4 linked regions of the Anolis sagrei genome follow. The protein of the gene in region 1 interacts with the protein of each later gene in a pairwise test. Links are inferred from orthologs where the notes say so. Each region holds a gene or a part of one and is shown in the gene's direction. Other genes may lie near its edges.

The links.
Region 2: the proteins of LNX2 (region 1) and PHYKPL interact in binary tests that used the Homo sapiens proteins (3 or more experiments, as listed by UniProt). The link is inferred for Anolis sagrei from reciprocal best matches to the Homo sapiens genes LNX2 and PHYKPL.
Region 3: the proteins of LNX2 (region 1) and TUBB interact in a two-hybrid assay, tested with the Homo sapiens proteins (3 studies listed by BioGRID and IntAct). The link is inferred for Anolis sagrei from reciprocal best matches to the Homo sapiens genes LNX2 and TUBB.
Region 4: the proteins of LNX2 (region 1) and volume-regulated anion channel subunit LRRC8E-like interact in a two-hybrid assay, tested with the Homo sapiens proteins (3 studies listed by BioGRID and IntAct). The link is inferred for Anolis sagrei from reciprocal best matches to the Homo sapiens genes LNX2 and LRRC8E.

The regions. Positions count from the first base shown.
Region 1 is NC_090023.1:31,187,635-31,195,507, reverse strand, and holds the start of LNX2 (ligand of Numb protein X 2), read left to right. Parts: upstream 1-4,871; 5' UTR 4,872-5,088; intron 5,089-7,873.
Region 2 is NC_090022.1:88,355,741-88,363,123, forward strand, and holds the start of PHYKPL (5-phosphohydroxy-L-lysine phospho-lyase), read left to right. Parts: upstream 1-4,370; 5' UTR 4,371-4,430; coding exon 4,431-4,480; intron 4,481-7,383.
Region 3 is NC_090022.1:21,651,702-21,659,472, reverse strand, and holds the start of TUBB (tubulin beta chain), read left to right. Parts: upstream 1-4,762; 5' UTR 4,763-4,936; coding exon 4,937-4,993; intron 4,994-7,771. UniProt on the Homo sapiens protein: Tubulin is the major constituent of microtubules, a cylinder consisting of laterally associated linear protofilaments composed of alpha- and beta-tubulin heterodimers.
Region 4 is NC_090022.1:112,648,234-112,655,614, reverse strand, and holds the start of volume-regulated anion channel subunit LRRC8E-like, read left to right. Parts: upstream 1-4,376; 5' UTR 4,377-4,459; intron 4,460-6,979; 5' UTR 6,980-7,074; intron 7,075-7,381. UniProt on the Homo sapiens protein: Non-essential component of the volume-regulated anion channel (VRAC, also named VSOAC channel), an anion channel required to maintain a constant cell volume in response to extracellular or intracellular osmotic changes.

The DNA.
Region 1 (7,873 bases):
ATTACATGTAATATAAATATATAATTATATTATTAGTATTATATTGCAGTTCATTATAATATTATAAATATATGTATATACAATATATTACATTACATTATATTATATTATTAGCATAGCACAGGAGACAAGGTGGAACTGTCCCCTGGCTCCCTCTCTCTTCACTCTGGCCCAGAGCGGCAGTTGGAGCTGGGGGGAGGGGTCCCCAACTGATGAATATGCAGGAGGAGACAAGGTGGAACTGTCCTCTGCCCCCCCCTCCTCACTTTGACCCAGAGTGGCAGCCGGTGCTTGGGCGAGGGGTCCCCAAATGATGACATGCAGGAGACAAGATGGAACTGTCCCCTGGCCCCCTCTCTCCTCACTTTGACCCCGAGCAGCAGTCAGCGCTGGGGGAAGGGGTCCCCAACTGATGACATATGCAGGAGACAAGATGGAAGTCCCCTGCCCCCTCCCCCGCCCCAAGTGTGTTGTCAAAGTGTTGTCAAAGTGTGTTGGCAGTGTGTTGTCAAAGGATTTATTGGCTGGAATCACTGGGTTGTTGTAGGTTTTTCGGGCTGTATGGCCATGTTCTAGAAGCATTCTCTCCTGATGTTTCGCCTGCATCTATGGCAGGCATCTTCAGAGGTTGTGAGGTCTGTTGTAAACTAGGAAAATTGAATTTATATATCTGTAATGTCCAGGGTGGGAGAAAGAATCCCTGGCTGTTGGAGCTAGGTGTGAATGTTTCAATTGGCCACCTTGATTGGCATTTGATGGCCTAACAGGATTTTTTTTAGATGTGACTTGTTATTGCCTGGGGGGAATCCTTTATTGAGAGGTGATTCCTGATTGTTTCTTGTCTGGAGTTCCCCTGTGTTTGTGTGTTGTTCTTTATTTACTGTTATAATTTTAGAGTTTTTTTTTAATACCGGTAGCCATATTTTGTTCATTTTCATGGTTTCTTCCTTTCTGTTGAAATTGTCCACATGCTCGTGGATTTCAATGACTTCTCTGTGTCATTGAACAACTAGGGGTCCAACATTTCTGTGTTCTCAAATAATATGCTATGTCCAGGTTAGATCATCAGGTGCTCTGCTGTGGCTGACTTCTCAGGTCGAATTAGCTTGTAGTGCCTTTCATGTTCCTTGATTTGTGTTTGGGCACTGCATTTCGTGGTCCCTATGTACACTTGTCCACATCTGCATGGTATACGGTAGATTCCTGCAGAGGTGAGAGGATCCCTTTTGTCCTTTGTTGAATGTAGCACTTGTTGGATTTTCTTAGTAGGTCTGTAGATAGTTTGTGTTTTCTCACCAGGTTCCCTATGCGGTCAGTGGTTCCCTTGATGTATAGTTCCTTTGGGTGGATCTTTGCCTTTACTCTCGTGCCTTGTTCTTGGTCTTCTGATGTCTGTGGTGGAGTATCCATTGGCCTGTAAACCCCAGTTTAGGTGGTTCTGTTCGTCTTGGAGGAGATGGTTTTCGCAGATTCTTTTTGCACAGTCTGCCAGGGCTTTAATGGTGCTTCTTTTTTTTACTTGGGTAATGATCGGAATTTTTATGTAGGTATCTATCCGTGTGTTCTATAAACTCTGTGAACCAATTGTTGATCTGGTTTGCGGATGACGAGAACATCTAGAAAAGGCAGTTTTCCTTCATTTTCTTTTTCCATGATGAATTGGATGTTTCGGTGGATGCTGTTAAGGTGGTCCAGGAACCTGTTTAGTTCTTCTTCTCCATGGCTCCAAGTGGTGAAGGTGTCATTCACATATCTGAACCACATAGTGGGCGTTTTTGTTGTTGTTTCCAGGGCTTGTTTTTCAAAGTGTTGCATGTGGAAAACAATCCAACATAGCCAACATCACACATAAATTATATAAACAACAGTAACTTTCATATGAAATAATTAATTAAAATATGCAGCCAATAACGCCAGCGAGGTCAACTATACCAACCAAGCTAAAACCACCTGAATCAGAGTTTGGTCATAAGTTCAGAACAGGTAAATTGATTGAATGTGAACATAACAAAAATAAAAAGTAATCATGTATCTATACAGGTATCCCACTATTATTATTAATAATAATAATAATAATAATAATAACCCAGTCCTAGAAGCTTGGGAAGTGTTTGACTTGTGATTTTGTGATACGAAATCCAACATATATATCTTGTTTGCTGTGACATACTGTGTTTTTTGTGTCAATAATAATAATAATAATAATAATAATAATAATAATATGTACATATGCAGATGCCAATAATAATAATAGTAATAATTCATGTATATATACAGATATCCAATAATAATCATTTTCATCATCATAATCATGTACATACACATATCCAATAATACTAATTATTTAAAATAATAATATCATGTATGCATACAGGTATCCCAAAATCCAATTATTATTGTTGTTGTTCTGTTGTTGTATTCTGAAATACCTGAATACAAAATGATGAGATATGTTGTATGTCAAACCTCAAACCCAAGTCTAAACAAGGAATCTATGCATGTTTTATATATTTCTGATACATATACTTATTATACACACTTAAAAAAAATTGTGTGCATAAGACACAGGTTTTTTACACTGAACTGCCAAAAAGCATAAATGTCACTGTTTTAGCCGACAAGATGGTCAGTTTTAAATTTTGGAGTATTTTGGAATTCTGGATAAGGAAACTGCATTATCATGTCCTACCCATCCCTCTTCATGGATAAAGGTGGAGAACAACATACATCATCAGTTAAAACATATAGCTGATGTGTTTAACTAGCAGTTAAAGTAGAATCATAATGTTACAACGTTGTAGTATGTATCCACTCAGCAGAGCCTCCCTTTTTGTTTATGATACCTTTATTAAAACAAAAACTTTAAAATATAAAAAAATATAAGGAAAAATTAGATACACTACAGAACACAAAGTAACTACTATTTAAACTGCAAGTGTAAATAACTACACTATAAAATGACAATACAGAAAACAAAATGGGAAACATAAACATGTGACTTCCAATGTCCCAGTTAATGGTTACAATTGCCTGTTTCTTCTAATTTTATAATATAAAAACGGTTCTACATATTTGTTCATGTTTACTATTCTTCAAATCCTAGCACTGTTAATTTCCACCAGTTTCAGAAATGCAATTATTGTGAAAAATTTTTTGTGAAGTTATTTCTCTTTAGCCAAAATTGCTAATTTGTTATCCTTACCAAGCCACACAATGCCACCAACCAATCTTCTTGTGATGGGATGTTTGTATCTTTCCATCTCTGTAAATAAAGCAGCTTGGCAGCTGTAATCATGTACTGGAAGATTATTCCATCATTCCCAATCAGAAAAGTTCTGATTTCAGCTGGAATTTAAATTTCAAAATGTTCTCCATCCAACAAAGTATCTGAGGCCCCTTCTACATCCTATATCCCAGGATCTCATCCCAGATTATCTGATTTAAACTGGATTATATGTGTCTCCACTACCAGTAAAATCTCTGGGATAAAGAGATAATCTGGGATCAGATCCTGGGATATAGGGGCAGTGTGGAAGAGGCCTGAGTCCAAAAGTTTGAGCCTCCCTTTGGAAAGATTAGCATAGCAGGTTTCCTGTGCCTGTAATCTGTACCCTATAGAGCTGTATAGAGCACCATACATCTCTATAGAGCTTGATTTCTAAATTATTTCATATAGGATTGTGTTGTCCCATTTTTGAGTCCGGGGAATATAGCTCTAAGGACCCTTCTAGACAGGATCTACTGTATATCCCACGATATACTCTCTCGTCCATAGAGCCATCATAAGTAGAAGTGCATTATGTTGTAAATAAGGCCCCTTCCACGTAGCTGCATAAAATCCCACATTATCTGCTTTCAACTGGGTTATCTGAGTCCACATTGCCATATAACTAGGTTATATGGCAATGTGGACTCAGATAACCCACTTCAAAGCAGATATTATGGATTATCTGCCTTGATATTCTGGGGCCCCTTCTGGGGGGTCGTGAGGGGTTTTCAGAGGGGTCGCCAAAGACCATCAGAAAACATATATTTCTGCTGGTCTTAGGAACCCCTTTGGCAAAGAAGACTTTCCTTATTCGAAACGGCCGCGGATCCTCCCACCAAAAGCCCTCCTTCACTCTGATTGGCAGGCCTCTCAGGTGGCCTCTCAGCCAAGGGGAGGACTGTTTCTGAGACTCCAAGCAGGAAGGGGAGAGCAGGCGTGCTTGGCACATCAGAGCATGGTGGGCATGAGAGAGCAAGGGAAAGCATGTGAGGTTGGAGGGAGGCATACACCAGTATGGGGGTTCTGTGTGAGAAGTTTGGCACAATTCTGTAGTTGGTGGAGTTCGGAATGCTCTTTGATTGTAGGTTAACTATAAATCCCAACTACAACTCCCAAATGACAAAAATACACACCCCACAACCCCAACAGTATTCAAATTTGGGCGTATTGGGTATATGTGCCAAATTTGGTCCAGTGAATGAAAATCCATCCTGCATATCAGATATTTACATTACAGTTCAACACAGTAGCAAAATTACAGTTATGAAGTAGCAAAGAAAATAATTTTAAGTTTGGGGGTCACCACAACATAAGGAACTTGTAGTAAGGGGTCGCGGCATGAGGAAGGTTGAGAAACACTGTACTAGAGAGCCATGGAAGAACCCCATCTTGGTGGGATGGGAGAATCTTGGTGGGATGGGATGGGGGAAGGGGAAGGAGGAGGAGGAGGAAGAAAGAAGAGGAGGAACATGGAAGGAGAAATGAAGAGAAGGAAGGAGGAGGAGGAAGGAGGAGGAAGAAGGAGAGGAAGGAGGAGGAGGAGGAGGAGAGGAGGGAGGAGGAGCTTCCAGATAAGCTGGGGGTAGGGTGGGGGAATCTCGGGTGCCAAGTCCCGCCTGGAGTTTGCTTCATTCCACGAGTGGCAGTGGAGGAGGAGGAGGAGCCAGAGGGCCTGCCTTGCAGCCCTGGCGGCTCCAGCTGCGGCGCGGCGGGGGAGAGGACCTTCTCTGCTGCAGCTCCCTCTTCCTCCTCCTCCTCCTCTTCCACGATGCCTCCTTCCACGAGACGGCAACTGCGCCGGGCTCCTCCTGCCCCTTAGGGTGAGTAACTTCCAGTGGGAGAGGGAAATGAAATAATGGCCGGGTCTGGGGCGCCTTTTCCTACCCCGGTGCCCCCCCCCCCCCTTATCCTCCTCCTCTTCTCGCAGCCTCTTGTTTTGGGACCCAGGCGCTTCCTTTTAAGGCTCCCTCCGGGCACTGCGGCGGTGCGCATTTCCCGGCTGCTCTCTCCGACTTGCCTGCCTGCCTGCCTTCCTTCCTTTTCTTCCTTCCTTTTCTTCGTTTTTGGTCTGCCGCCACCTCCGTTGGCAACCTCTGCCTGCAGGCTGCTGTGACATCTACCTATAGAGCATCATCACCAACTCCATCATCCCCTGCTCTTCCTTCAGGCGTTGGGTTTCCCATTCATTCTCCCGCTTCTCAAACATCAACAGAAGATGCTGCTGGTGTTGCTGGGAGGAATGATTCCCCACCCCACCGCATCATCTGAGGTGCATCCTTCTACACCAGGCATGGGCAAACTTGGGCCCTCCCTCCAGGTGTTTTGGACTCTCAACGCCCACAATTCCTAACAGGTCCAGTATAGACAATTGGAGCCTGACTCTCACATGTCTGAACGTACACAATGCATGGACTATCTGGGACGGGCATGACTAAACTTGGGCCCTCCAGGTGTTTTGGACTCCAACTCCCACAATTCCTAACAGCCTCAGGCCCTTTCCTTTCCCCCCACAGCTGCTTTCCCCCCATTTCCTAACAGTCTCCGGCCCTTTCTTTTTCCCTCTCAGGCATGGGTAAACTTGGTCCCTCTAGGTCAGTGGTTCTTAACCTGGAGTCCCCAGATGTTTTTTGCCTACAACTCCCAGAAATCCCAGGATTTCTGGGAGTTAAAGGCCAAAAACATCTGGGGACCCCAGGTTGAGAACCACTGACCTAGATGATTTGGACACCAACTCCCACAATTCCTAACAGCCTCAGGCCCTTTCCTTTCCCCTCTCAGCCGCTTTCCCCCCATTTCCTAACAGTCTCCGGCCCATTCCTTTTCCCTCTCAGGCATGGGTAAGCTTGGGCCCTCCAGGTGTTTTGGACTCCAACTCCCATGATTCCTAACAGCCTCAGGCCCCTTCCTTTCCCTCCTCAGCCGCTTTCCCTCCATTTCCTAATAGTCTCAGGCCCTTTCCTTTCCCCTCTCAGGCATGGGTAAATTTGGGCCCGCCAGGTGATTTGGACTCCAACTCCCACAATTCCTAACAGCCTCAGGCCCCTTCCTTTCCCCCCTCAGCGCTTTGACACTGCTCGAACTGCCAGAGCTCCTTGCTATGGAACCATGGGAGTTGTAGTTTTGCAATGTCTCCAGCCTCCTCTGCCAGAGAGTCCAAAGATTCCACAGCTTCCAGTCAGAGTAGTTAAAGTGGTGCTGACATACATTAATTCTATAATGTAAATGTATAGAGTTTCTTAGGCAAGGGGGACTATATTATAAACCGCTGTGAGTCGCCCTTGGGCTTGAGATACAGCGGTATACAAGAATAGTAAATAAATAAATAAATAAATAAGTATATCCCAAGTCTTCCTTGCCTAGGAAACCCTATAAAATATCATGGGGTTGCCACAAGTCCCTGAGCGACCTGAAGCTACATACACTTGGATTTGTTTTTAATCGTGTCAGAAGCGAATTGAGTATATACTGTAAGTCACTTCTGGTGTGAGAGAATTTGCCATCTGCATGGATGTTGCCCAGGGGACACCTGGATGTGTTGCCATCCTGTGGGTGGCTTCTCTCATGTCTCCGCACAAGAAGCTGGAGCTGACAGATGGGAGCTCATCCCACTCCCCAGATTTGAACCGCTGACCTTCAGGTCAACAGTTCAGCCTGGACAAGGGTTTAACCCATTGCACCACCGCAGCTCCATACTCATACATTTGGTTTCAAACCACATTAATTCTACAGTGCAGAAGCACCTTGGGAAGTGGCCCAACTAACCCGTCCGAATGCATCTCCTCCTATGAACCAGCTAGGACATTAAGATCATGTGGGGAGGCCCTGCTCTCGGTCCTGCCTGCATCACAAGTATGTCTGGCAGGGATGAGAAACAGGGCTTTCTCAGTGGTGGCCTCTTCGCTGTGGAACGCCCTTCCTACAGATATTAGATGGCCCCCTCCTTGTTAGCATTTAGGAGGAAAGTGAAGACCTGGTTGTCCGAACAGGCATTTGAACAGGCAGTGTAATGAATATAGGAATATGGAACAACTGGATGATGAGACTGGATCTTGATTCTAACTATGAGATGCTAATGAGATCTTTTATTGATGTATAATTGATTATTATTATCCTACTGTTTTAATTATTTTTGACTGTTTTGTGATGTTTTGAGCATTGAATTTTGCTACTGTTAACCGCTTTGAGTCACCTGAGGGCTGAGAAAAGCGGTATGTAAATATAGTAAATAAATAAGTGGGCACAGAGTCACATAATCCTCCAATAATTAAGAATTGCCTGCAGGGCCAGGAGGAGGGCACACCAATTATAACTTGTTTCTGAATATTAGGTGTCCCGCTTCTGCACACATTATTCTTTTCCTTTATGATAGGTTATTTTATTGATGATCAGAAATTAAAGCAGTGGTTCCCCAAAGTTTGAAAATTTTTGAAAGAAGCTCACTTCAGGCCTGTTTTCTCAGACCAGTGCATTGTATTCAGAGATGGAAGTGAGGCCTTTTCTGCACAGCTGAATAAAATCCAACATTTTCTGCTTTGAACTGGAATGCATGGCAGTGTGGACTCAGATAACCCAGTTCAAAGCAGATATTGTGGATTATCTGCCTTA
Region 2 (7,383 bases), on another chromosome or scaffold:
GAAATGAAGGCATTAATACAGTATTATGCATTATTGAATAAAAAAATAATGGACTTGTACTGATCAATTCTGTTTTGTAAATTTTACAACAGGCACTGCATTGTTTCGCAGTGTTCCCACTATCTTGTGCTTTAATCCATAGCAAGAGTTGATATTTGAACAGATTAAAAATAAATTGCTTCTTGTACATATAGTTTTTACTATGGCTTTTGTCATTTCTCTCTTGTTTAGCCCTCAGCATACACAACCAGAACTGTGGTCCCATTCTGGCATTTAGGTTAAGATTAACAGGTTTTTTTCCATCCAGTTGAGCTCTTACCCAGACTTCAAACCAGTGGTTGCACAGTGCATATTCTGCATTACTCAATGGTGCCCAGTCATCGGCATTAGTTGTACAATATTGCTATTTTACATGGTATTGAATGGAGCCCCCAGTGGCGCAATGGGTTAAACCCTTGTGCTGGCAGGACTGAAGACTGACAGGTCAGTGGTTCGAACCCGGGGAGAGTGGGTTGAGCTCCCTCTGTTAGCTCCAGTTCCCCGTGCAGGGACATGACAGAAGCCTCCCACAAGGATGGTAAAACATCAAACATCCAGGCATTCCTTGGGTAACGTCCTTGCAGATGGCCAGTAATAGTACCACAGCATAGCTGCACATTTAAATGTTTAAGACATGTTGAGGGAATGTCGGATCGCAGGCACTGGATATCTTAAAGTATTCTATACAGTATACACCAAGGATAAGCAACTTTGGCTCACAAGATATTGGAATGCAACTTCCATCAGTTCTGGACAGCATAGCTAAAGGTAAAGGGTGCAATCCAAACTCACGAAGGGGCATAGTTGCCCACACTTAATTTATATTAGGAATGTTTCAAGCCAGAAAAACACTACTCACATAATTGGGAGACTGGGTGTAATCCTGAGGAGTGCAGAATACCAAAAATATTCAGAGGAAGCACAAGCAACTAAAGGAGTCCACTGTAACAGAGATTCCTATGGAACAGAGTGACCACCAGAGGGAGATGTACATTCAGTCTCGAACAAGTGGGGAGGGCAAAGCTTGTATTACATAAACTTATTAAGTGTAGGGAAAAAAGCTTTAACAAGCTCACACTGAGTTTTTCCAGTGTCCTCAATGAAGTCCAAAAATAGTATTAACAAGCTGCAATGATCAAAGATCTGGAAACCAAGCCTTATGAGGAACACCTGAGCTGACATGATGACTATCCATAAATATCAGAAGGGACGTCACGTAGAAAATGGAGCTCATTTGTTTGGGGAACTTGAATCAATGGATACAAATTACAAGATAAGACATTCCACTTAAACATGAGAAATAGATTATCTTAGTGGGTGGTAGACCTTTAAACACGTTGAATGGGCATCTTTCATAAGTGCTTTAGTTGTATATTCCTGCATGGCATAAAGTTTTTGTTTTTTTTACTATATTTCTATCCTGCTCTATCTCACCCCGAAGGGGACTCAGAGCGGCTCACAGTATGGCAATATTCAATGCCACATAAACAAAACAAATATGCAACACAATAAAACACAATTACTTTAGCAATAAAACAGATAATGAAATAAATACAATTAGAACTGTTAAAAACATGAGACCTGAAGTCGTCATACATGCTGCTACATCATGCCAATTCCATATTGCACTACTCCCCAAATGCCTGGTTCCAAAGCCATGTCTTTACTTTTTTCCCTGAAAACCAGGAAGGAGCCCAATCTAATATCACAGGGGAGGGAATTCCATAGCTGTGGGGCCACCACCGAGAAGGCCCTGTTTCTCATCCCCACCAGTTGTGCTTACAAATGGGGTGGGACCAAGAGCAGGGCCTCCCCAGAAGATCTTAATGCTTTAACTGCTTCATAAGGAGAGATATGTTCTGACAGGTAAGTTGTGCTGGAGCTGTTTAGGGCTTTATAAGCTAAAGCCAGCATTTTGAATCGGTAGCCAGTGGAGCTGACGCAATTGGGGGGGGGGGGTTGTGTGCTCCCTATATGCCACTCCAATGAGAAATCTGGCTGCTGTCCATTGGACCAATTGAAGCTTCCAAACAGTCTCCAAAGGCCACCCCATGTAGAGCGTGTTGCAGCAGTTAGACTGAATAGCCCTTGATAAACATTTGTAGGATGAGTCTGCTAAAGCAGAAGCAGGAATCTGCAACAATTTGCTTTTTTGAACGCAACCCTCCTTTCCATATAATTACAGCCTTGCATTGCTCAGTTGATGTACATGGGCATTCTTTATTTGATAGTTAACGCCCATTCTATTCAGGTAGATTTAATCCTAAATAAATTATTTTTAAATTATACATTGGACAATATATTGTATTTGGCAATGTCGGATTCCTGAAAACATGCAGATGAGCATTAAATAACATGATTAACAATAAGAATGGTTCCTGCAAAACCAACTTTCCATATAATTTTACTGCCTTGTCTTCAAATGGTTTAAGAAAAAAAAACATTAAAATATGAAAATGAGAAGGAATTCTGTAGCACCATAAAATTAATACATTTTATTACAGAATGTACTATTGTGGACAATAGTCCAATTCCTCAGATGCATGAAGTGCTACTCAGAATTTCAATTATGTATGCAGAAAGTAGTGTACAGTGAGTGATCTCAAGGTCAATTCTGTTCCAAAGGAGTCTAAAGTTCTGTGAAGGCCACATACTGCTGGAGGCTATAGATGGCAATGCCAAAGCGCTTAAAAGTATTCCTCAGCTAAAAAGACCCAGTGAAATTCATGGGGTCACTCTAGGCTGACAAGAGATTGGAAAGTACAAGAGAAAAATCATTTCTGGAAGGCCACACATTCCCAATGAGCACTGCCCAAAGTGGTGCCAATTCTTACTCATAATATTATACCTTTCAAGATAGTTGGGGTCCTTTTCATTCCACTATTTTCATACTGGCCAATAAGCCCAAAATGAGACCCCAGGTTGAGAACCACTGCTCTAGTGTGATGAGGCCCCAAGGCAGTGGTTCTCAACCTATGGGTCCCCAGATGTTTTAGCCTTCAACTCCCAGAAATCCTAACAGCTGGAAAACTGGGATTTCTGGAAGTTGTAGCCAAAACACCTGGGCACCCACAGCTTGAGAATCACTGCCCTAGGGGGACTTGGCCAGTTCCTTCCTCCGAAAAATAACCTACAGCAGGTGCTATTCACTGGGGGTTTCCCGCCCAAGTATTAACCAGGGCTGACCCTGCTAAGCCTCCAAGAACAGGCAGCATCTGAGGCCCTTTTATAGTCCTTAGGCAGAAAAATCCCCTGAGGGCAAGTCCCAGGGTGCATCTACACCAGGCATGGGCAAACTTGGGCCTTTCTCCAGGTGTTCCAAGTTTGGCCATGCCTGATCTACACTGCAGGATGAATCATAGAATCATAGAGATGGAGGAGACCTCATGGGCCATCCAGTCCAACCCCATTCCACCAAGAAGCAGGAAAATTGCATTCAAAGCACCCCTGACAAATGGCCAGCCAGCCTCCGTTTAAAATCTTCCAAAGGAGGAGCCTCTACCACACTCTGGGGCAGAGAGTTCCACTGCTGAACAGCTCTCACAGACAAGTTTGTCCTAATGTTTAGATGGAATCTCCTTTCTTGTAATTTGAAGCCATTGTTCCATGTCCTAGTCTCCAGGGCAGAACATAAGCCTCCTCCCTCCTCCCTATGACTTCCTCTCCCATATTTGTACATGGCTATCATGTCTCCTCTCCGCCTTCTCTTCTTCAGGCTAAACATGCCCAGCTCTTTAAGACGCTCCTCGTAGGGCTTGTTTTCCAGACCCTTGATCATTTTAGTCGCCTTCCTCTGGACACATTCCAGCTTGTCAATATCTCTTTTCAATTGTGGCTTGCCCCCACTTGAACTGGCTCAGTGCTATGGGATTGAGGGTTTTGTACAGGCACCCTCAAACTGCAGCCCTCCAGCTGTTTGGGGCCTCCAACTCCCAGAAGCCCTAACGAGCTTGTTCAATTGTCAGGCGTTGTGGGAGTCGAAGGCCCCAACAGCTGGAGGGCCGCAGTTTGAGGGTGCCTGGTTTTGCACTTTTGCTGAGGCACCACGACTCTTTGCAACAGGGGGCTCGAGACCTTGTCGAACTACAGCTCCCAGGATTCCAAAGTACCGAGCTGCTGCAGTTGGGAGCTGTGCACTCAAGAAAGTGGTGCCAAAAGCGATTGGCAGTGGATTTTTGTGTCGTGCAATGGCAAAAACACCCAAAGAGCTGGATTCCTGAGCGCCACCTCGGAAGGAAGGATTCCTGAGCGCCGCCTCGGAAGGAAGGGGGAAAAGGGCATTCAAAGGCCTTTCCTTTTCCCGCTTCCGCTTGGCGACCTTCCGCGGCCGCTCCTCCCTCTCTGTGGGCTTCCTGCCTTCCTTCCTCCCTCCCTCCCTCCCTCGATCAGCCATGACGCGCAGCCGCCAAGAGACCCTGGCCCTGCGGAAGCAGCTCATTGGGTGAGCAATGGGGGAGGGGGCGGGCTTGCAGGGGGGAAAGTCGGGAGGGCGCCTTTACCTTGTTGCCACTTCCTTCTTCTGAACTGTAGCTCACAGTCTATTCCTCCGCCAGTCAAGGACTAACCGGGGCTGGCTCTGCTTAGCTTCCAGTACCAGAATATTTTAAGGGGGGGGGGGGGGGTTGGTGCCTTCCATGGCTGCAGTAGAAAGTTTGTCCTGTGCCTGCTACAGACCATAGAAAATTACAACTCCCATGATTCCATGGCATTGAGCCAGGCACGGTTAAAGTGGTGTCAAGCTGCATCATTTCTATGGTGTAGATGCATCTTAAGTTTAAAATGTGGTTGCATCCCATTGCCTTCTCGCCTTTCCCATTCTCAAGTGTTGTCCCAGCAAGATGTAGTTTTGGTGGTGTAAGTTGAGCACCCCTTGCCCGAAACCCTTGGCGAGGGGATCCAAGTCCAAGTGCATAACCCATTTCTGTTTCATATATATCTTATACCCCTATGCACAATATTTCTAATAATTCTCTGTACAAAACCTCAATTTTTTCTACACTGAACCATCCATCAGAAGAAAAAGCTGTCACAATCTCATGGACAATTTAGGAACATTCCTGATTGCCAAGTAAACTCACCCCAATCTTGAATAAGGGAGCCAAGGTGGCACAGTGGGTTAAACCTTTGTGCCAGCTGAACTGCTGACCTGAAGGTCGGCAGTTCAAATTTACGAAACAGGGTGATTTTCCATCTATCAGCCCCAGCTTCCCGTGTGGGGCTGATAAGACGTCCGTTATATACACTGTTTAGTGTTGTTTTTATTTTGTTATATTGCTTTTGTTATTATTTTGTTGATACACATTGTGTTTTTAACTGTTCTGTGTAAGCCGCCCCAAGTCCCTTCAGGAAGATGGAGGTGGGGTATAAAAATAAAGTTATTATTTTACTGACACAGAAACACAGTATGACACAGCAAACAAGATATATATGCTAGATTTTGTATCACAAAATCACAAGTCAAACACTTCCCAAGCGTTTAGGACTGTGATGTATTTTCAAATGATGTGCGCAATTCCAAGTAAGGTGGCCTTTTGCAGTTGACAGATCGTGATTTTGTCAATGTTTATTGTTTCCAAATGCCGGCTGAGGTCTTTTGGCACGGCACCCAGTGTGCCAATGACCACAGGGACCACCTGTACTGATAATGGCTGAGTTTTTCCTGTTGTTTTTCCTCAGTGCAACTGTCACCTGGTATATTATTATTATTATTATTATTATTATTATTATTATTATTGGGACATGAGAGAAGCCTCCCACAGGATGGTAACACATCTGAGCGCCCCTGGGCAATGTCCTTGCAGACAGCCAGTTCTCTCACACCAGAAGTGACTTGCAGAATATTCTCAATTCGCTTCTGACACTTGAATAAATTCTCATTTGCCCAAATCCTATTGTTACTTCTAACTAGAGGAGAGCCATTCACTCAATAGGATTGAGCTAAGTATAGACTGACTTGCCAGTTCTAGTTAATACTCCCAACTATTGAGAAATGCTATAAAAGTCAGGGGCAGGGGCATGTTATAAACCCACATAAGTCAAGCAAATGTAACCATCAAAGAGAATTTCCCTTTTATTAGAATTGTTATTTTGGGGCAGCTCCAGATGTTGTTGCAAGCCCCAGCGTGATTAACAGCAAGAGTGCTAGAAACTGCAGTTTAACAACATCTGGAGGGCTCCTTTAATGGTGACTGCCTCTTGTTAACTAATGCCCCCTGCATACCAACATGTCCTCTACTATCGTTTGAAATAAAGAAATTTAAACTTACGGATGAATTCATATTCTGTACTTCTGGAACACAGTAGCTTTCTGTTCTGGGTTAGCAACTCCTTTGGACATTCACTCCCAGTCTCCTGAGAAATCCCTGCAGCTCAGCCACATGCGTATGTTTCAGCTAACATTACACAGCTGGAACATGTAGGTGAATTCACACAATTCAATGGATTTGCTCAAATCAAGATTAAGCACGGGATTTAGGACCAGGTGTTAATACTCAGTGTTAGAGAGCAGGGATTAAGCTTCTGGTGAAAACTAAGCAGGCTATGAAAGCACTTTCAGCCGGACTTGAAATATCACAGCCCCTTGAAATATCAGGCTTTTGACCTTATGAAAGAGGAATTCACAAGTAGGGCAAAATATAGGTTTCTGCAATGACTTTAGGGATAGGGCAGTATTTAATTTTGTATGAATAGATGTTTCCAGGCTCAGTTTCCAGGCTACAATCACTTACCTTTGCCAGGAGAGCAACAGGGGAGTGCAACTCTATTGACTGTCAGCTACTTTTGGTGCAATCCACCATGGTATCTGCTTATACAGCCTTTTGGTGCTGGACTTGGAGGTGGTTATCTGTAGATTTGGACTGGAGTACTGTAGTATGCTAGCATGTAGTAGTAGTTGGAGTACTGAACAAAAACTCTGGGAGACCAAGATTAAACTCTCTGCTCAGACATGGACATCCACTGGGTGATTGAGGATAATTCACACTCTCTCAGCCTCAGAGGAAGGCAGTGATAATCCCCCTCTGAACATATTTTGCAAAACAAATCAACAATAGGATCACAATAAATCAGAAAATACACAGCTGTTGAATGCAGACAACAGTATCTCATTTCCATTGATTAATTGTAGGAAGGCAGTAGAAACTTTCAGGTCTCTGGAAGTAATTTGGTTTGTATTTGAGCACACAAACTTCAACTTTACAAGATGAAAGTATTGTTGATAGGGGAACCTTTTGGTCTTGGTTGAGGTTTGCAACTGGTTTTGGATAAGGGTCACATTTCCCCTTTAATATGCATTTTGAAGATACTCCAGAACCACATTTTATCTGCAAAGGTGCAGTTTTGACT
Region 3 (7,771 bases), on another chromosome or scaffold:
CTATATGTCTGGGTGGAAGGGCCCTGGGAAACCGTACTCCAATTATTGTACCATAAAATGTGCAAAATAGTAAAAAATACAGCATCGTATCAAATCATTTATGTTGGATAAGTGAGACTCTACTGTACATATAATGATAGTATCATAATATTCTTCATTCATTCAGTCGTTTCCAACTCTTTGTGACCTCATGGACCAGCCCAAGTCAGAGCTCCCTGTCGGCTGTCACCACCCGCAGCTCCTTCATAGTTAAGCCAGTCACTTCAAGGATGCAATCAATCCATCTTGCCCTTGGTTGGCCCCTCTTCCTTTTTCCTTCCATTTTCCCCAGCATCATGGTCTTCTCTAAGCTTTCCTTGTCTTCTCATGATGAGGCCAAAGTACTTCATCTTTGCCTCTACTATTCTTCCCTCCAATGAGCGGTCGGGCTGTATTTCCTGAAGTATGGACTGGTTGGATCTTCTCGCAGTCCAAGGCACTCTCAGAAATTTCCTCCAACACCACAGTTCAAAAGCATCTCTCTTCCTTCGCTCAGCCTTCCTTGTGGTCCAGCTCTCACATCCGTAGGTGACTATTGGGAATACCATTGCTTTAACGATGCAGATCTTTGTTGCCAGTGTGATGTCTATACTCTTCACTATTTTATCAAGATTGGTCATTGCTCTCCTCCCAAGAAGTAATTGTCTCCTGATCTAATTGTCTGCATCTGCAGTGATCTTTGCACCTAGAAATACAAAGTCTGTCACTGCCTCCATGTTTTCTCCCTCTGTTTCCCAGTTTTCAATCATTCTTCTTGCCATAATCTTGATTTTTTAATGTTTAACTGCAACCCAGCTTTTGCGCTTTCTTCTTTCACCTTGATTAGAAGGCTCCTCAGCTCCTCCTCACTTTCTGCCATCAGAGTGGTGTCATCTGCATATCTAAGATTGTTAATGTTTCTTCCAGCAATTTTCACCCCAGCCAGAAAAAGAAAATAACAATATAACACAATATAATTCCAATAATACAATATAATATTGTAATACACAATACAGTAATATTAATATTATGCTATGTGAATATAATATGTTGTATATACATATATTGATATTATAATATAATCCAATATAATTCTAGTAATACAAAATAATAAACATTGTAATATAGGTAAAGGTAAAGGTTTCCTCTGACATTAAATCCAGTCATGTATGAATCTGGGGGTTGGTGCTCATTTCCATTTCTAAGCCGAAGAGCCGGAGTTGCCGTAGACACCTCCAAGGCCATGTGGCCAGCATGACTGCATGGAGCACTGTTACCTTCCCGCCGGAGCGGTACCTATTGATCTACTCACATTTGCATGTTTTCGAACTGCTAGGTTGGCAGAAGCTGGGGCTGAGAACGGAAGCTCATGCCGCTCTCCACATTCGAACCTGTGACCTTTCGGTCAAGAAGTTTAGTACCTCAGCAGTTTAACCCACTCTGCCACCGGGGGCTCCTACACTGTAATATAATAATAGTAAAATTGCACTGTGCGAATATAATATATTGTATATACATATATTGATATTATAGTATAATCCCATATTTCTAATAATAACACAATATAATATACATTGTAATTTAGTAATAGTAATATTGTGCTATGCAAATATAATATACTGTATATACATATATTGATAATATGATAATATAATACAATATAATATATATTGTCATATAATACCAATATTGTACTATGTAAATATATAGTATATACATATATTGATAATACAATACAATACAATACAATCTTAATAGTAATAATACAATATATATTGCAATATAGTAATACTAATATTGTGCCATGCAAATATATTGTATATACATGTATATATGGGCGCTAGAAACAACATCATACGAAAGCTGACTGGCACAACCTGGGGATCACAACCAGACACAGTGAAGACATCTGCCCTTGCGCTATGCTACTCTGCTGCTGAGTATGCATGCCCAGCGTGGAACACATCTCACCACACTAAAACAGTAGATGTGGCTCTTAATGAGACATGCCGCATTATCACAGGGTGTCTGCGCCCCACACCACTGCTTAGCCGGTATTGCACCACCTGACATCCGCCGGGAAGTTGCAGCCAGTAGTGAAAGGACCAAGGCAGAGACATCTCCAGCTCATCCCTTTTTTATTATTATTATAACTTTATTTGTACCCCGCTAGCATCTCCCAAGGGATTCGATGCGGCTTACACAGGCCGAAGCCCAACACAATACAACAATACAATACCTAAGAAAATAAAGCAAATCCCTTGTACGGTTCCGGTCCAGCGTATCTGTCCGAACGTATCTCCCTCTACGTACCACCCCGGACCTTGAGATCATCTGGGGGGGGCCCTGCTCTCGACCCCACCACTCTCACAAGTGAGGCTGGTGGGGACGAGGAGCAGGGCTTTCTCAGTGGTGGCTCCTCACCTGTGGAACTCACTCCCCGGGGAAATCAGGGCAGCAGCATCCCTCCTCGCCTTTAGGAGGAGGGTGAAGACGTGGTTGTGGGACCAGGCCTTTGGGCACTCCAGCAATTAAAGCAGACATTCAGGCGAGTAAGACCAGCAGGACTGATGAAGTGGAACAGGAAACTAGAACTATGAATGAGCAAACGCTGACCATGTAAAAGGAGAAATTGGGTTTGTATGGGGGTTTTATTGATTTTATGGGAATAATGTATGAATTTATGTATGAATTGTTAATTGATTTGATGTAATTTTGTGTACACTTGTTTTATGATGCAGGCATCAAATTGTGCCTTGCTACTGTAAGCCGCCCTGAGTCCCCTTCGGGGTGAGAAGGGCGGGGTAGAAGAACCCCAAATAAATAAATAAATAAAATATCAGCCAGCACGCCAACGACTTAAATCAAGACATAGTTTTCTTAGATCTACAGAGACACTCGCTGGAACACCCCAGCAAGCGAGAGTCCAAAAGTGGCAGGCCCAAACCCAGCACCTCAATCCCTGGGTGATACCAGATGAGAGACTCCCCCTGGGCACACAGAAGACTGGGCGACTTGGAAGCGCTGAACAAACTGCGCTCTGGCATCACGAGATGCAGAGCCAATCTTAAGAAATGGGGCTACAGGGTGGAATCCACGGCATGCGAGTGTGGAGAAGAGCAAACCACTGACCACCTGCTGCAATGCAACCTGAGCCCTGCCACATGCACCATGGAGGACCTTCTTGCGGCAACCCCAGAGGCACTCCAAGTGGCCAGATACTGGTCAAAGGACATCGAATCAACATTGAATCAATTACCAAGTCTGCAAAATCTGTGGGTTTTTTTAAACCTGTTTGTTTGTTTTGTTCTGTTAGAAATGTAATACAATGGTATGGTTGCTGATGACACGATAAATAAATATATATCCAGTGGGTTAAAGCACTGATCTGCTGAGCTTGTTGATCGAAAGGTCACAGGTTCGATTCTGGGGAGCGGCGTGAGCTTCCGCTGTCAGCCCTAGCTTCTGCCAACCTAGCAGTTCGAAAACATGGAAATGTGAGTAGATCAATAGGTACCGCTCCAGCGGGAAGGTAACGGCGCTCCATGCAGTCATGCCGGCCACATGACCTTGGAGGTGTCTATGGACAACACTGGCTCTTCGGCTTAGAAATGGAGATGAGCACCACACCCCAGAGTCAGACATGACTGGACTTAATGTCAGGGTACTACCTTTACCTTTACCTTTAGATACATATATAGATAATATAATACATTACAATCTTAATAATAATACAATATATATTGTAATCTAGTAATACTAATATTGTGCCATGCAAATATATTGTATATAGGTTCTTGTGGGTTTTTTCGGGCTATAGGGTCATGTTCTAGAGCAGGGGTCAGGAACCTTCGGCCCTCCAGGTGTGGTGGACTTCAACTCCCACAATTCCTTGAGGCTCGGCATTCGCTCCAAAGGCTTACCTTGGCCTCAAGGAATTGTGGGAGTTGAAGTCCACCACACCTGGAGGGCCGAAGGTTCCCCATGCCTGTTCTAGAGGCATTTCTCCTGACGTTTCGCCTGCATCTATGGCAAGCATCCTCAGAGGTAGTGAGGTCTGCAAGCCTTCAAATGCTAATGAAGGTGGCCAGTTGAAACATTCACACCTAGCTCCAGCAGAGCTCTTTGCCCCACCCTGGTCATTCCACAGATATATAAACCCATTGTCCTACTTCCAGCAGACCTCACTACCTCTGAGGATGCTTGCCATAGATACAGGCAAAACGTCAGGAGAAAATGCCTCTAGAACATGGCCCTATAGCCCGAAAAAACCCACAAGAACCTAGATTTTATTATTGTATATTTGCCATGTTTTTGATTGTGAGCCATTATTTTGCCATGGAAGAATGGGATTTTACAATGTCTGTAGCCTTCTGTGACAAAGAGTACTGGTACCTCACCAACTTAGCAGTTAAAGCAGTATCAAACCGCATTCATTCTGCAGTGTAGATGCATCTTGGACCTTGGGTGATGTTTTACCCTGGTCTAGGCGTGGCGAGGACCACCACCATGTGGGCTAGTGCAAACCCCCATGCAATGGCGCCCGTCTTCTCCCAACAAAAGGGAGAGCTGCAGTGCCCCCCTCCCACTTTCCCCATTGCTGCGCCTGCTGCCACACCCAGCTCTGCTCCGAAGCCCCCTCCCTCTCCCGCTACGTGTCTCTTTCCGCCGCCGTCCAATCAGAACGCCGCTCCTGACGCCCGCGGGCCAATGGGAGCGCGGACCGCCCGCCAGTTTATAAAACCTTTGTCTGGGCGCCCGGCCCGCCTTCCTGCCTTCCCTCTGCGTCGCCTTCGGAGGATCGAACCTTGAGCTCCCCAACGTTCTGAGTCTTAAAGGAGCGGCGCGCCTCTGAAGCAGAAAGGAACGAGGGAAAAGTAATTAAGAGGGGGGAAAGTGTTTTGAAAGCCAGGCAAAGATGAGGGAAATCGTGCACATTCAAGCTGGGCAATGTGGTAACCAGATCGGTGCAAAGGTGAGGATGGGTCATTGAGGTATATATTATTAAATTGGGGTTGCAAAAAAAGAAAAGTAATTCAAGCAATATAATTTTTCATAATTCAGGAGATTATTATTTTAAAATGTGGCCGAAAGGAAGTAGTCGGCAGAGCTGCACATTGGATGTAAAATATTGGCTTGGGAGGGGAAGGACTCGTTTTAATTCCTTTCAACAACAAGGAAAGGAAGGTGGGGCTGTAACGCTGCTTCCGGGGCTGTAACGCTGCTTCCGTTCCTTACAAAACGCTCTCCTATTGCAAAGTCATTTTTCTTTGGGGGGGCGCGCACATTAAATTTAAAATATTGGCGTGGGAGGGGGATGACTCGTTTTAATTCCTTTCAACGACAAGGAAAGGAACGTGGGGCTGTAACGCTGCTTCCGTTCCTTACAAAACGCTTTCCTATTGCAAAGTCATTTTTCTTGGGGGGGCGGGCGCATTGGATTTAAAATATTGGCTTGGGAGGGGAAGGACTCGTTTTAATTCCTTTCAACGACAAGGAAAGGAACGTGGGGCTGTAACGCTGCTTCCGTTCCGTACAAAACGCTCGCCTATTGCAAAGCCATTGTCTTTGGGGGGAGGGGGAAGGGGTAAAGGAAAGCTGGGTGGGGCGGCAACGAGATCCAAACGCTGTGAAAAGGAACGACGTTAAATAAGAACGCGCCATTATGCTTCCTCTTTCCCATCCCTATAATCACAGCGTTTTCCCAATCTCCAAGGTGTTCTTTCTCCCGCTTAACTACTCTGCTATGGAAAGTAACTCGTTACTTCCTCCTAAAGGGCGTGGAATTTGCTTCCAAAAGCACATTTTCCCCAAATATCTCCAGTGTTTTTCCTTATTTAACTACTTTGCAACGGAAAGTAACGCGTTGCTTTTCCAGAAGGAACGGCGTTACTTAACTGGCGTGGAATTTGCTTCCTCCCATAATCACAGCGCTTTCTCCATATCTCCCAAGTTCTTTCCTTCCGTTTAACTATTTTTAACAATGTAACGCGTTACCTCTCCCAAAGGAACGGCGTTACTTAAGGGGCGTGGGGTTCGCTTCCTCTTAACATGCATTCAGGTGGTGAAAAGGGAGGGAAGGCGCCCCCAATTCCCCGCCAACTAACGTCCTCCTTAACGTTTTTAGCGCCAAGGAGCTGCAACCAGGAGGAGGGATTTGAATTTTTTTTTTGCTAAAGGAAGTGGGAGGGGAGAAAAAGGCATGAGGTTTCCCGCACGAGGCTCTGAAGTGTGGGGTGAAAATAGCGGGCTTTATCTCTATATACCTTATCAATATCTTTTAACCATTGCTCTACAGTCTCTTTGTAATAAACACACATAAAGGGTTGGAGTTGGAGCAACAATGAGTAGCCTCTCCATTGTAATATGAATGCAGCTTGCTCCCATTATTAACTGCCATGGCTAAAGGGTGTGGAGTCCTGGGATTTGTAGTTTGGTGACACATAGAGTTGGAAGAGACCTGATGGGCTATCCAGTCCAACCCCATTCTGCCAAGAAGCAGGAAAATTGCATTCAAAGCACCCCCGACAGATGGCCATCGAGCCTCTGTTTAAAAGCTTCCAAAGAAGGAGCCTCCACCATACTCCGAGGCAGAGAGTTCCACTGCTGAACGGTTCTCACAATCAGGAAGTTCTTCCTAATGTTCAGATGGAATCTCCTTTCTTGTAGTTTGAAGCCAAAGTCAAAGAAACTATAAATCCCAAACAAAAAGAAAAGCCACGGGGCAGAGAGTTCCACTGCTGAACGGCTCTCACAGTCAGGAAGTTCTTCCTAATGTTCAGATGGAATCTCCTTTCTTGTAGTTTGAAGCCAAAGTCAAAGAAACTATAAATCCCAAACAAAAAGAATAGCCACGGGGCAGAGAGCTCCACTGCTGAACGGCTCTCACAGTCAGGAAGTTCTTCCTAATGTTCAGATGGAATCTCCTTTCTTGTAGTTTGAAGCCAAAGCCAAAGAAACTATAAATCCCAAACAAAAAGAAAAGCCACGGGGCAGAGAGTTCCACTGCTGAACGGCTCTCACAGTCAGGAAGTTCTTCCTAATGTTCAGATGGAATCTCCTTTCTTGTAGTTTGAAGCCAAAGTCAAAGAAACTATAAATCCCAAACAAAAAGAATAGCCACGGGGCAGAGAGTTCCACTGCTGAACGGCTCTCACAGTCAGGAAGTTCTTCCTAATGTTCAGATGGAATCTCCTTTCTTGTAGTTTGAAGCCAAAGCCAAAGAAACTATAAATCCCAAACAAAAAGAAAAGCCACGGGGCAGAGAGTTCCACTGCTGAACGGCTCTCACAGTCAGGAAGTTCTTCCTAATGTTCAGATGGAATCTCCTTTCTTGTAGTTTGAAGCCAAAGTCAAAGAAACTATAAATCCCAAACAAAAAGAATAGCCACGGGACAGAGAGTTCCACTGCTGAACGGCTCTCACAGTCAGGAAGTTCTTCCTAATGTTCAGATGGAATCTCCTTTCTTGTAGTTTGAAGCCAAAGCCAAAGAAACTATAAATCCCAAACAAAAAGAAAAGCCACGGGGCAGAGAGTTCCACTGCTGAACGGCTCTCACAGTCAGGAAGTTCTTCCTAATGTTCAGATGGAATCTCCTTTCTTGTAGTTTGAAGCCAAAGCCAAAAAAACCCTATAAATCCCAAACAAAAAGAAAAGCCAAAAGCCAGGCATGTGTTCCTCAAAAGGAAAAAAAGTGCCTACTTGGGAAATACAATGTGTCTTATTTTAAAACTGCTTCAGAGACACCAATAA
Region 4 (7,381 bases), on another chromosome or scaffold:
GGTTATTTGCATGCGTATTTCCTAAAAGGGAGAAAGAAGGGGGGTGGCCTAGTACCTTTTACAGCCGCTGGCATTCATCTACTTTAGCTCTGGTTTCCGCAAGCTTGCTACTCTGCACATTAAAGGCTATCTTCTGGTGTTGTAACGACTGCCAGATTATGCAAATATAGTTTTATTCATCACTATCAGCTCCAGCTCCATGCGGGACATGAGAGAAGCCTCCCATAAGGATGGTAAAAACATCAAAAAACATCCAGGCACCCCCTGGGCAATGTCCTTGCAGATGGCCAATTCTCTCACACCAGTAGTGACTTGCAGTTTCTCAAGTCGCTCTTGACCTGAAAAAAAAAATCCTTAGAGGAATGCAAAGGGCAACTTTCTCTGAGAAAATCTTGCCAATAAAACTGCACGGTAGGGTTGCCATAAGTCAGAAAGCACACAGCAACAATAAGTTCTTTGAACTTAATATGTTTTTCATCTGAGTAAACATTCATAGATTTTCTTTGTTATTGCAACGTTCCTCTGAGTAAACATGTTGCTGCACATTACCAATCCAGGGTGGCAGAATTTTCATAATTAGTCACCTAATAATAAGGCCAAGTGCCTCCAGGTAGGCCTGTTCCCTGGGAAGAGTATCATCAGTGCAAATGAAGGGGGCAGATAATCCCAAAGCCAGAAGTAGCGAGTCAAGAGCAACAAGGAAGCTGTAACAGGCTGCCGAGTTTCTTAATGCTCCGGAGCACTGGTGTCAGGCTGGCATACTTTCATTCGACAGTTTCTTCCAGGTGCCGGGATCCAGGCCACCACACAAATATCGTCACTGTGTAAGCTCCGGCAAGGGAAAACTGGCGACATCACAAAGCTCCAGCCCACACACAGAAGAAACCGTCTAGTCCATCTGGAAAACAGCAAAACCCCACAGACGACCTGACCGTGTCTGTTTAGAAGTAGATCCAGGCTGGATGAATTTCCTCCAGACAATGAAAGGCTTTCAGCCCATTCATAATACTAAAGATCAGCTTTCTCCAGAACATAATAAGTACCTTTATAGGTCATTTGCCTCTGGTCACCAAAAGCAGAATTTAGCCCAGAGGGTTGCCTGCACAAATCTGCCACAAACATTTTACGTAATGGCTGGCTCAAGGAGATTATTATATTTCTCTCTCTCTCTGCCTTTTCCCTGCATTTGGACATTACCTACAGTGAGGAGCCTGACCCCAGAGCCAGCTGCATTTCAGGGGCACTGGATGATCTCTGGGCACCCCCTGCCACAAATGGCACTGGAGGATTACTCATGGGTTCCACAAGTGGCTGGTGCCTTTGTTTGCTGGCAGCAAAGTGGAATGCGGGCCCTTGGCACTGAATGAAAAGGGCATTTGTTTTGGGCTTTTTTGCCTTGGCACAAAATGAGCTGTGGAGATCTATATCACTGCAGGTGTGTAAAAGCATCTCCCACCTGGGAATAACAGTGCCTGGAAGATTTCGGAGAGTTGGTTTTAAATGCTGCTGACAACCTCACGAAATGGGAAATGGTACTATCCATGATGGCTGGACCCTTTTTAATATGCTCTACTGATGGAGAACTAATGGTGGACTCAAGTGAACAATGCTGGTTTGGCCCAGGTAAGATTTTGCTGAGGTCTGAAAAACTCGCATAAACCGGCCTGAGATCCCAATGCACAACTAGCTTCACATTGCAGAGAGGACTCCTGAAAAGCATCCTCTCACAACAGAAAGGCATGACTACCCAAGAGGAAGTTGCATCCACATGCTGTCCCTCTGGGACACTGATCAGATAATCACTCAGGGGAAGCTGGACCAACCACTCTAGTTTTTATCCTGTGTTAGGTAGGTGGTGGGTGTATGTAAGTGTAAGCAAATGATTTTGTCTAATTGGGTTGCTGTGAATTTTCCAGGCTGTATGGCCGTGTTCCAGAAGCATTCTCTCCTGATGTTTGCTCACATCTATGGCAGGCCTCCTCAGAGGTTGACCTCACACAACCTCTGAGGATGCCTGTCATAGATGTGGGCAAAACGTCAGGAGAGAATGTTTCTGGAACATGGCCATACAGCCCGGAAAACTCACAGAAACCTAATGATTCCAGCCTTGAAAACCTTCAACAAAATGTTGTCTTATGCTTGAATGGCATCTAATGTTGCCAACTATTAGCCACTCTGAGTTCCTCTACAAAGGAGAGAGGGTGGGATATAAAACACAGTAAATAAATACATAAATAAATAAGCAAGGCTTTTAATGCTTTTGGAATGTGCACCAAAACTATGCAAAAATTACAAAATAGCAACTGGAGGATGGATGTCTCATGGGGAATGCCATAGGGGCCATCCAGAGAGTTCCCTACAGCTGTGATCCCCAGTTTACTAAAGGCTTTCCAGTTTACATGACTCAGGTTTTCAAGGCCTTTGCCTCAGCACTTGTTTTCAGTAAACATACATTGACTCCAGAATGTCTTAAGTAATAATGAAGAGGTTATCAGGTGACAGATCTTAAGAAATCTCTGGTTTCACCCGTTTGCACCTGGGATTAAGGGACAACAAGATTTTTCAGGTCAGTGGACCTAATGTTCAATCTAAATCAGGGAACTCCTTGATAGGTTAAGGTAAAGGTTTTCCCCTGACATTAAGTCCAGTCGTGTCTGACTCTGGGGGTTGGTGCTCATCTCCATTTCTCTTGTTAAATCCAAAATGAATTAGTTATGGGAAGGATCCATTTTACAAACTTGACTGGAGTAACACAAAGCAGCAGCTGTGGCTGGAGAGTTTAAGGCAGGCAAATGGCCTTCAAGGTATTTTGGACTTCAACTTCCACAATTCCTAACAGCTGTAGGAGGGCCGAAGTTTGCCCATGCCAAGTTTAAGGCATGGCTAAGATAGGAGCCCCTGGTGGCACAGTGGGTTAAAGCACTGAGATACTGAACTTCTGATTGAAAGGTCACAGGTTCAAATTTGGGGAGTGGCATGAGCTCCCGTTGTTAGCCCCAGCTTCTGCCAACCTAGCAGTTCGAAACACATGCAAATGTGTGTAGATCAATAGGTACTGCTTTGGTGGGAAGGTAACAGTGCTTCATGCAGTCATGCTGGCCACATTACTTTGGAGACGTCTATGGACAATGCCAGCTCTTCGGCTTAGAATTGGAGATGAGTACCAACCCCCAGAGTCAGACATGACTGGACTTAATGTCAGGGGAAAACCCTTTACCTACTAGATGGTATTTGGCCCTCAATTCAGTTGTGGACTTCAGCTTCCATCATCCTTTTCCAAAGACCTTGCTGGGTAAACCTGACCAAAGTGGATGAGCAAAACTCCTGGCAGGCTGGCATTTCTTCTTCCCCTGTGATCTGGAAGAGGGATCAATGTCACCTTCCATAGCATTCATTCTCAGAGCCACACAGTGCAAGGCGGCTGAAAAACTCAACCCACTGGCAACGGACTGGGGCCAAACTCCAACCCTCTCACACCAGGCGTGTCCTGCCTGAGAATCAGCCCTTTGAATCCGAACATGACAGAGAACTGCCATTGAAATCACAACAGATGCTCCCCTCACCCCACACCTGGTGACACAATGGGTGCCAATAGGTCAGAGGTTCGAATCTGACGAGCTCCCGCTGTCAGCTCCAGCTCCACATGCGGGGGCATGAGAGATGGTCGAACATCCAAACACTGGGGCATTCCCTGGGCAACGTCCTTGAAGACGGCCAATTCTCTCACACCAGAAGCGATGTGCAGTTTCTCTAGTCACTCCTGACATGGGAAAAAAACCCCACCTCCAAATGGAAACTTTACTTGCTCAACTTTCGAAGTAGGAGTTAGTCATCCACAATTGAGAAGTCGACACCACCCTTCCTTCTGCGTGAGTCAATCCCCTCCACGGTGACACTGAAAGGAATTCTACACCAGGCATGGGCCTACTTGGGCCCTCCAGGCGTTTTGGACTCCAACTTCCACCATTCCTAACAGCCTCAGGCCCCTTCCTCCCCCCCCCCCCCCCCAGCCGCTTAATGTAGAATGAATGCACTTGCAAGGCACGGTTGGGAAGGATACGCCTTGTAAAACTCCAAATCCCAGGGTCTTGAGAGCGGGCAGTTCAAGTGGGGTCAGGCTGCATGCAACCTTCATACATCCCCAGAGCATGAGGATGAGCCTGGCCCTGAATGGGGACTGTGGCCGGACGCGGGCCCTTGAAAGCTCCGCCTCAGGCAGAGAAATGACTTGGGCCAGGGACTCCCCGGTGCCTGCCGCCTGGGGCTGCTCTGGGCGGGGCTACTGCGCCTCCTCCCGGGGGCCCCGCCCTCCCCGCGCCGCCGAGCCGGCGGGGGGGGGGGGGTGGGAGGGAAGGAGGGAGGGGAGAGGCCTCGCTGGGGAAGGCGGGGAAAGAGAGGACGGGGGGGGGGGGCAATCCCGGTGAGAGGGGACCGAGTCAGGTGCTGCCGGCAACTCCAGGTAAGGGCCCCACGGGGAAGTCGCGGCGTGACTATAGAATGAGCCCAGTTTCGACGCCACTTTGACTGCCCTGGCTCAGTTCTGTGAGATCCTGGGAGTTGTCCTTTAGTGAGACACTCTTGGGCAGAGAAGCAGAAAGACCTTGGAAAACTACAGCTCCCCCGAATCCAGAGCGAGAGAGCGAGCGAGAGGGAGGGACATAGAGAGAGAGGGAAAAACATGATTTGTCGGGTTTGTTTTACTGTCTCGAAAACGGGCACCAGGACAACGTGGAACATCCCACAGTTGTTTTGGTCTTGAACCAGAGAAGCAGGAGAGGGAGTTGTGACCAGCGAATCAAAGGTGGTCCCAGTGGTGATCGGCACACTGGATGCAGTGCCTAAAGACCTTGGCCTGCACTTAAACACAATCAGTACTGACAAAATTGCCATCTGCCAGCTGCAAAAGGCCACCCTACTGGGATCTGCACGCATTATTCGCCAATACATCACACAGTCCGAGAGACTTGGGAAGGGTCCGACGTGTGATCCAATACAATAATCAGCATAGTGACCTTGTTTGCTGTGTTTTAATCTTGTTATGTTTCAAATAATAATACTTTATTTATAGGGTGCCCTATCTCCCCTAGGGGAATGCGTTGTTGAAGGCTTTCATGGCCAGAATCACTAGGTTGCTGTGAGTTTTCCGGGCTGTATGGCCATGTTCCAGAAGCATTCTCTCCTGACATTTCGCCTACAACCCTCCTCAGAGGTTGAGAGGTCTGTTGGAAACTAGGCAAGTGGGGTTTCTATATCTGTGGAACAATGTCCAGGGTGGGAGAAAGAACTCTTGTCTGCTTGAGTCAGGTGTGAATGCTACAATTGGCCAGCTTGATTAGCATTGTAGCCTTGCAGCTTCAATGCCTGTCTGGTTACTGCCTGGGGGAATCCTTTGTTGGGAGGTGTTAGCTGGCCCTGATTTACTCTTGTCTCAATTCCCTTGCTTTTTGAGCATTGCTCCTTATTTACTGTTCTAATTTTAGAGTTTTTTTTTAAATACTGGTAGCCAGATTTTGTTCATTTTCTTGGTTTTTTCCTTTCTGTTGAAATTGTCCACCTGCTTGTGAATTTCAGTGGCTTCTCTGTGTAGTCTGACATGGTAGTTGTCAGAGTGGTCCAGCATTTCTGTCTTCTCCAATAATATGCTGTGTCCAGGTTGGTTCATCAGGTGCCCTGGGAGACTTCAGTTTTTGCTCCTGAAGGGAAAAAGAGAAACTCTTTCCACTTGACTTCAGTATGGATTTCTCCATAATAGTAGTGCCAGCCTATGCAGGTCTAGTCAGCATTACATCCCACCAGATTCAATGGGCCTTGCTCCCCATCAAGGCAGAATTTGGAGGAAAGTTAACATTTAGAACTGCAGTTATCCCAATCCTTTAACTAGCACGGCCCCTGTCTCAACATGCCTGCCCTCTTCTCCTTCTATGAAGACTGTTGCTATTGAATATAGTCACGTAAAACATCAAATTGGAAAAATTGCAGTGCGAGTTTAGAAGGATTCTGGAGCCTGCAGTCCAAAACAAGTTTCTCAAATGATGCAGATGGATGTAAAGGTGCAAGGGACTAGAAGAAGAATGGGGAAATCCGTGGCCAGATGTTGCTGAACTGCAGTTCTCAACAGACCTAGCCAACATAGTGTGTGTCTACACCAGGCATGGACAAACTTCGGCCCTCCAGGTATTTTGGACTCCAACTCCCACAATTCCTAACAGCCTCAGGCCCTTTCCTTTCTTTCCTATACTTTTTCACTTAAGCGACTGAGGGGGAAAGGGAGGGGCCTGTGGCTGTTAGGAATTGTGGGAGTTAGAGTCCAAAATACCTGGAGGGCTGAAGTTTGCCCATGCCTGGTCTATACTATGTTGGCTAGGACTGAATGTAGTTTCACACCACTGGAACTGCCATGGCTCAATGCTAGGATATCATGGAAGTTGTGGTTTTACAAGGTCTTTAGCCTTCTCTGCCAAAGAGTACTGGTGCTTTATAAAACTACAATTCCCAGGATTCTGTAGCATTGGGCAGTGCAAGAAGAGGTGTGAAGCTGCATTCATTCTACTGTGTATAGATGCACCCAGAGTGAGGAATGTTGCGAATGCTGTGAGCTGCAGCATCTGGTGGGCTTTGGGGAGTGTCCAACTCTCAAAGAAGTCCTTTCTCTTGGGCTGGCCTTCTGCGAAAGCCAGGCGCTCGCACATGCTCAGAGGAGCTGCTTCTGAATTGTTGCTTCCTATGCTCTGAGGTGTGGAGAAACAGGTTTGGTGAGAGGGAGAGCCGGGAATAAATGACGCTGTGCCAGCTGGATTCAACCCGGTGACTTTTGAAAAGGAAGGACCTTGGAATTGGGAAGATGTGTTGATGAGCATTGTGTATTTGTGTGTGTCTGCAGGCAGTTTTCATTTGGTGGGAGCTGAGAACGGAGACCAATTGAAAGCAGCTTGGATGTGTTGATTTCAGCCAGTGACAAGCTCTCTTGGGTTTCTCCTAGGACCACACAGCCAAACGTTCATGTGAAGATTTGACCCAGAGTGACTGGAGATCTCTCCTGAGGAGGAAGACTTAGGACTGTCGCAATTTAAAAAGGTACATTCAACACATTGTCACGTGTTATCTGTCATCTATAAAAAAGCAGGGATTGGAGTGGGGAGGGGAAAGAAAATGGGTAACTTAATACCACAAGGGATATTTAGCCCAGCTCAACTCCACTGTTGCACTGGGTGAAAAGTAGCTACTATCAGATAGGTATGAAAATATAAGAACAGAGAGATTCCAAAGTCCTTATTGTTGGTAGTACAGGCTGTCCCCAAGTTGCAGGCAAGGCAGGTTCTGTAGGTTTGTTCTTCAGTTGCATTTGTATGTAAGTCAGAACAGGCACATTTTTGAAGTGTAA